Callithrix jacchus: one gene and its partner. Each later gene encodes a partner of the first gene's protein in a complex. Links are inferred from orthologs where the notes say so. Each region holds a gene or a part of one and is shown in the gene's direction. Other genes may lie near its edges.

Region 1 (3,647 bases):
CCCTGTCTCTACTAAAAATACAAAAAATTCACTGGGTGTGATGGCGTGTGCCTGTAATCCCAACTACTCTGGAGGCTGAGGCAGGAGAATCGCTTGAACCCAAGAGGTATAGGTTGTGATGAGCAGAGATCAGGCTGTTGCACTCCAGCCTGGGCAACAGAGAAAGACTCCATCTGAAAAAAAAAAAAAGAAGAAGAAGAAGAAGGAAAAGAAAATACACTTTAGAATCAGTGGCTGGTTAGAGTTTAATTTGCGTTGTGTTTTCCTACACATAAAACAGTGATATTTGTTGTTATTAGAATCTGAGATTTGATGAATGTGGTATAATGTCACCTATCTGTGGATATTTTAAAATTTTGTTTGCATTACAAATAATGCTACAAGATATGTCTTTGCACATGCTTGCTTTGAATAAACTCAAGTGAAATTACTGTCGATTTTAATAGATTTTTCCACATTTCTTTATTAAAAGATTATGTCACTTTACATTTCTGTGTGCAATAGATGAGGTTATTTTCCCAACCCTTATCAACATTGGTTATTCTCAGCCTTCCAAGTGTTAATCTGATGTTCAAAAAAGTTTTTAATCTTGCATTTTAAATTTAATTGATTTTATTTTAAGTACACATTAAAAAATCTGCATCTAAAGACTTGAATGCAATTAAGCGTGTCTATATGTTGTCATTTTTATTTCTTCTACAAATTGTCTACATATTCATTGCCATTTTTAAGAATTTGAACTGGTAGTCTTTGTCCTCCTGAAGTGTGAGAATGTTTTCTATATTTGGAATACACATTTTGCCATATGCATGGTACATTTTTTTTTTCTAGAAAGTCATTTGTCTTTGCCATTTGTGGCATGTTTTGTCATAGGGAATTTTAAATTTTTATGAAAGTTTTATCAGATAATTCATGAATGTTGATTGTCTTTGATAGTGTTGACAGAATTATTTTTCTAAATTTGTTAGACAATTTAGATGAGCAAATCATTTTGAAAGTGTCTTTATTTAGACAATACTGAATATCATAATTGTAAACTTTGCTTAATGATAAAATTGCCTTTCACTCTGTTGATTTCTTTATTGTTTTTGGCTTATATGCTTTTGTTTTAAAGTATCTCATAACTCTAGTGGGTTTTAAGGCAAAGAATACTATGCTAGAAGTAGAGAAATGTGAGGTTCTTTTTTTTTCAAGTGCTGCCATTAGCAAGCCGTGTGCTTTTAAATTGTTTCTGTAAAATCCTTTTCTTGTTTTCTTGTTTTTTTTTTTTTTTTTGAGATGGAGTCTCACTCTGTCACCCAAGCTGGAGTGCAATGGCATCATCTCAGCCCACTACAACTTCCACCTTCTGGGTTCAAGCAATTCTCCTGCATTAGCGTCCCAAGTGGCTGGGATTACAGGCGTCCGACACCACATCCAGCTAATTTTTGTATTTTTAGTAGAAATGGGGGGAGTTTTACCATGTTGGCCAGGATGTCTCGATCACTTCGCCTTGTGATCCGCCCGCCTCAGCCTCTCAAAGTGCTGGGATTACAGGCGTGAGCCACCGCGCCTGACCTATTTTTTTCTTTTTTTGAGTTGAAGTCTCGCTGTTGTTGCCCAGGCTGGAGTACAATAGTGTGATGTTGGCTTACTGCAACTTCTGCCTCCTGAATTCAAGTGATTCTTCTGCCTCAGCCTCCCAAGCAGCTGGGATTACAGGTGCATGCCACCACACCTCACTAATTTTTGTATTTTTAGTACAGACAAGGTTTCCCCATCTTGTTCAGGCTGGTCTTATACTCCTGACCTCAGGTGATCCACCCACCTCAGCCTCCCATGGTGCTGGGATTATAGGCATGAACCACCACACCTGGCCTGTTTCTATAAAGTCTTTAGGTCTCCATTTTCTCATTGGCGAAATGGGAACGCTGTACTGTCTCACCTGTTTTTAGCTTAAAAGTCTATAAACCTGTTAGGTTTGTAAGTCTGTAAACCTTTAGCTCTGTTGATTATTAAGAATCTACATTTGCATACTTTGCTTTAACCATTTATTTCCATAATTCAGTAGTACTTTGTTGATGTTTGGCCGCAATATTTATTTTGTTTCTTATTTGTTCTGCTTGATCAAATAGTTGTTTTAAAACATATCCTCTTTAGCATTTTATTGTGAAAACTATTTAACATCTTTATTCACACCGAAATTATCCACTCTTGATCTTTACCTTGTTTTGTACTGAAAATACTTATTATAACTATTAAATCAAAGATATAAGACATAAATACAGAAAACAAAAATATGGTAGGATTTGGAGTTACAAGAGGAAAAAATCCGTCATGGATGTGGTATAGACAAACTTGTGTGTCAACTCCATTTCTGTCACTTGTTAGCAGAATGACCATGAGCAAGTTATTTAACCTTGAATCCTCATTTTCTCTATCTTTGTAGTAGAAATAATAAGAGTGACCTCACAGAACTATTATGATTAAACCCTGGCATTTAGTAGACACTTGGAAACTCATTCTCCCTTTAGATGTAACAACCAATTAGTGACACAGCCAAAAGAATGACTCCTCTATTTTTTTGTATACTTGAGGTTACCACCTTTTCATCTTGAGTAACCTTGAAATCCTGGAGTGTACGTGAATGCATTTCTGAGTTTAGGTATTTAAATTAATCCTTTTCCTCCCTTGAAATATGTACACTTGAGTTTTGTTTTTTCTAATTTAATATAGAGAATCCCCACTCTTCATGGCACTGTGTTTTGCTTGTAGTTAAGGTCTTATCCCCTTCCCTTTGTAAAGTTAGGCATCCCAAATGTGCAGAATGAAAATAGTAAATTTAAGCTATTACATGCCAGACTAGCTGAGATTGTACTTTTATGGTAACTAGCTTTAACATGCAATTTATAGAAATGTATCATATAAAATCTGGGGTAAACCTGAGTTATATGTTTATATTTGAATTTCTATAACTACTATATGACATAATCTTTAGAACAAGAATTACATCTCTATATATTAGTAGCATAGTGCCACATGTTATAATACAACGTTGTCCCTGAATCAGTAAAATAGAGATCTTGGGTTGCTATGTTTTTTCTTGATGATTAAATTGCAGGAAGTGATATTTTTTCATCTAACATACAATGTATTTTAGATCATTTGTTTTAGCCTTCTAATATTTTGACTGGGATTTTAAAATATAAAGTAAATTTATAGTTCTGCTCTTTTAAAGATAACATTAAAATAATATTAAATCTAACATAAAATGGATAGCTGTTTAATGAAATATGTTATCTTACAGCCAAATTTGTATCCTACTGTGGGGCTTCAGACACCAGGAGAAGTGGTTGATGCCAATTTTGGTCAACATCCTTTCGTGTTTGATATAGAAGACTATATGCGAGAGTGGAGAACCAAAATCCAGGCACAGATAGACCGATTTCCTATCGGAGATCGAGAAGGAGAATGGCAGACCATGATACAAAAGTAAGAGTGAAGAAATTTGAATTGACATTATTCAGAATATATTTTTTATAAGACATTTATTCTTTTGGTATTCATGGAAACTTTTTAATCAGTTTATATACTAATATCTCTACAATGTTACTGATTTTATTCTCTCAACAAAAAGTAATTTACTCCACTAAACAAATTAAAAACAA
Region 2 (4,116 bases), on another chromosome or scaffold:
ATACATACAGGTGGGTCTTAAAGACTACTGCGCCTCCTGCCCCCAGCACAATAAAAGTAATTGAATGGTGGCGGGAGGGTGTTACTGCTCTTCCTTCACTGAAATGAGTCATTTGCCCTCTCACCCTAACACCACTCACTATCAGCAACAAAAGAGCCACAACTTCTAAGCTTCATCAGAGTTGGAGGTGGAGGTGATTCCAAAATCAGAGATGGAGGTGTCAATTTCTATTTAGGAGAGAGAGAAGGCTGCAGATGGCAGGGGTTGCACAGGATGGAAAGTCAGGAAACCTGCAGCTAAAGTGCCCGGGATGGAGGACTGATTGAACTTGGCCCTTCTGTGCAGGTCTTATGTTGGGCAGTGGAGACATAGAAAGCAGTCAGACTCCAGAAACCCGAGTCTGCTCTGTAACCTAGGCGAAGTTCTGATTCAGGGCCCAAACCTCCCCTTTGGAAAACAAAGATGACACTTGCTTTCCTCATTAAAGAGAGGGCAGCCATAAGCTTTGAGAAAAGCTGCCCAGGCCAAATATCAATTAATGTCTCGTGCAGGACGCGCTGTTCCCCCTCGGGTCGTCTGCCTTTGTTTGGGCTTCTCTTTCTCGTCTGTAAAAGGACCCGACTGGCCTGCATAACCTCATGAGCCTGAACCCTGCCTCAGTCACACCGCCCTGCACAGCAGAAGTCCGAATTCCACCTTACCCCCAGCTCGGCCCTTCATGGCCTCACCTGTCGGCGGGGCGTAAGCCCGGGCTGGAGACAGGATGGTTAGCCCCGGACTCTTAGAAGCGCTGGGGCCACCCGCAGGCCGATTCAGGAGGCGGCGTCCCCCGTCCCGCAGCCGGTGACAGCTCCTCCACATCGCGCCCGATAGTCTGGGAGGATGCGCAGCGTGAAACCTAGAGCAGGAAACGGAGCGAAGGGACCTCCAAAGCCGCACGATCGGGCTGTACGGAAACCTCTCACCGCCCCCTCAGAGCCCGCAGCCTCCCCTGGATGCCGCCATCTTCCACATGACACCAACGGCGTGCCGTCGCCGCCGCACGCCTCCTGCGCACACCCCCAGTCAATTAGCATCACAAACGCGCCTCGCTCCGCCCCCTCCACGCCGCGCCTCAGCGAGAAGACCACAAGTCCCAGCGGGCCGCTCGCGCACCCCACCACGTGCTTTCTCCTCCCGCCAATGGGTGGAAGCGCCGTGTAAACCTGTTCCCGCCCTCACCGGCTCGCCCGAGCCAATCGGAAGGGGCGGGGTGTGTGTTTGTGCGTGCGCGCGCGTGCGTGTGTGTGTGTGTCTGTGTGTGTGTGTGTGTGTCTGTGTGTGTGTATGTGTGCGCGAGGGCAAGTCGGGAGGGGGACCCAGCTCAGGACTGGGAGGCCCTGCTCTCAGGTCCCTGGGTCGCGGTGGCGGCCGAAGCGCTTAGTTTGCATACAGCGGACGGGTGGTCGCCCCTCCCGCCCCCACCCTGCGCGTGCGCGCCTCGGCCTCTCCCTCCCAGCCACCCTCCTTGGCTCCCGCGCGGCGGCGGCGGTTCCTCTCCCACTCCCCCCAGCCCTGGCTCCGGGGGACCCCGCGATGCCGGTCCGCACCGAGTGTCCCCCGCCAGCCGGTGCCTCGGCTGCCTCCGCGGCCTCACTCATCCCGCCGCCGCCCATCAACACCCAGCAGCCCGGCGTGGCCACCAGCCTGCTCTACAGCGGCTCCAAGTTCCGCGGCCACCAGAAGAGCAAGGGGAACTCGTACGACGTAGAGGTGGTGCTGCAGGTGAGCGCCGGGCCGGGCCGGGGCCCGAGGGCCTCCTCGCGGCGCTCACGGGCCGTGCCCGTCTCGGCTCCTCGAGCCGGCAGCCGCGGAGCAGGCCCTCGTCGCCGGGGCCTCCTGCACCCGGCGCTTCCCACCCGGGACCTGCCCAGCCTGTGCCTCACACTCTCCGAGCCCCAGCCCTGACCTGCCCCCTCAGATCCAGAGCCCGTCAAGACCCGCTTCTGGCGGACCCCGAACACTCTCCCAGACTTGAAGCCGGTGACCGGCCGGTCCGGGATCCGGAAGCCCCCATGACTCGGGGAAGGCCCGGGTCCTCCCTCCTCATGACCTGCCGTCCCTACATCAGGGACTGCCACGAGCCCTTTTCAGACCCTGAAGAACTCTCCATTGGTTTCACCAGACTCTGGACACTCCCCGTGTCTGGGCCCATGTCAGATTCAGAACTGAGTCCTGCCCTCCCGCCTCTTCCTCAGTCCCAGGAATCCGCAGACCCTGGGGGCTTCCTCTTCCTGAGATCTCCTTAGGAGGGCTTCATCAGACCCCTCAGACGGGGGAACACCAAACGCACCACTGATTGGTCAGGCCCTGGCCCCACCTCAAGACCAGACACTCACTCCCTGAGTGCTGCTCACAGTCTGCTGGGATCTTGCCTCCTGGGTCCCCTGTTCCACTCGCTGCTTCCCTCTCTTCATGCTCCAGGCACCCAGCCCCTTCCAGCTGCTCCACCTCCCAGCCTCCTGCCCCTGCTCTGGGACCACTTGCAGTCTTCTAATCTTCCTGGCATCTGTCCAGATTCCCCACCCCATATCTTCGTCTTGCTCGATCCTGGTTCCAGGGGACCCTGTTTGCTGTTCTTAACTTTTCTCTACACAGGCACAGGGCTTCCTCCCAGTGTCTGAGACCCATGTACTGGGAAATCTAACTCACCCAGTTTTAGTTCATGTCCAGCAGCCTCCCTGCATTTGACCTGGATTCCTGAATACCTGCTGCCAGTTCCTGATCAGCCTTGGAAGTACAGCTTCACCTGTGTGGGCCTTTCCCACACCTCACTCCTCTCAGGCCTGACACTTTTTGCCAGCTGAAATACTGCCCCCCGGGTGTGAGGGTGAAATGTACAGTGTATCTGTTCCTCAAGCTTGCCTTTTGACGGGTTAAAACTCTAAATCTTAGTTTTACTTCTGAAGAGTAGGTATCCCATTCAAAAGACAATGAGGGTGCCTTTTCTTTCTGCTATCTGCAGAGCAGGCATCACTCTTTCATTCTCATACTGCTGTGTGGGAGTAAATAGTTTTCTCTGCTTACTTGAAACAGCATCATCATGTTAATTTTATCTTTGGTCTGTAAAGTTCTAACATGAACCACAATCTTTATTATAATGGAAAAACTATTGTGGTTGAAATATTTTTGTCTTCATAACTATATGCCTAATGTGGTGATCCTCTTCTTGTTTTCTTAAAATGTGAACATCATTTCGGTTTGTTTTGCACCTAATCAGAATTCTGGAGGTGAGAACCCAGGGTGGGTCATGTTTGGGATGGTGTTGGATTTGTCCCCATTGTTGAGTTTGATGGTTTCTCATGTAGTAGGGGATAATTGGCAGGGTAGCCAGGTGTCAAAGGGGAGTCTGCTTTGACAACTGCAGCAACTACTGCTCCCTTCTGTCATTTGGGTGTCACTTCTGAGCTCCTGTCAGAAGGAGAATCGTGAACCAGTGGAAGCGGTGATTGAGTTGGGACAGGGCTGATAGGTCTCAGGCAGCTCAGAGCAGAAACCTGGCAGATGGCTGGGAGCCACTTGAGTAGGAAGTCTGCTGGTGGGGATGGTGGTCATGCCAAGGAATGCTGCCCTACATCTGGATTGGGGAGCTGCTTGGTCATCATCACGACTACTTAGTGGTATGTGAATTGCCCCATCAGCTGGTTTTTCAGTCAGGACTAGTTTCTCAGATACAGCCTTCTTAGACACAAAATACTTCTGCCTTTTACAACTCTCCTTCCTTCCTTCCTCCCTCCCTCCTTCCCTTCCACCCTCCCTTTTTCTTTATTTAGATACAATTCACTTATTTAAGGTGTACAGTTCAGTAGTTTTTAGTATATTCACATTTGTTAAACCACCACCACAACCTAATTTTAGAACCTTTCATCACCCCAAAAAGAAACCTTGTACCCCTTAGCCATAACGCCCACTTCAATCCTAGGCAACTCCTCATCTATTTTTTTTAATTTGTCTATTCTGGACATTTTATATAATCATACAGTGTATGTCCCTTTGAGATTGGCTTTTTTCACTTAGCATAATGTCCTCAAGTTTCATCCTTATCATTATACATAGCAGCACTTACATTTCATTTTA

The links.
Region 2: the proteins of RANBP9 (region 1) and GID4 are in contact, whole or in part, in a cryo-EM structure (PDB 7NSC), measured with the Homo sapiens proteins. The link is inferred for Callithrix jacchus from reciprocal best matches to the Homo sapiens genes RANBP9 and GID4. Residues at the interface, in NP_005484.2 of Homo sapiens: Ser223, Lys224, Gly225, Arg226, Asp227, Gly228, Tyr229, Met230, Gly256, Asp257, Thr274, Phe275, Thr276, Thr277; in NP_076957.3 of Homo sapiens: Leu187, Arg189, Asp194, Glu195, Asn216, Asp218.

Annotation. Positions count from the first base shown.
Region 1 is NC_133505.1:17,020,621-17,024,267, forward strand, and holds part of RANBP9 (ran-binding protein 9), read left to right. Parts: intron 1-3,286; coding exon 3,287-3,471; intron 3,472-3,647. UniProt on the Homo sapiens protein: May act as scaffolding protein, and as adapter protein to couple membrane receptors to intracellular signaling pathways. Acts as a mediator of cell spreading and actin cytoskeleton rearrangement.
Region 2 is NC_133506.1:69,115,125-69,119,240, reverse strand, and holds the start of GID4 (glucose-induced degradation protein 4 homolog), read left to right. Parts: upstream 1-1,254; 5' UTR 1,255-1,326; coding exon 1,327-1,764; intron 1,765-4,116. Other genes in the region: ATPAF2 (ATP synthase mitochondrial F1 complex assembly factor 2), read right to left, coding at 729-861.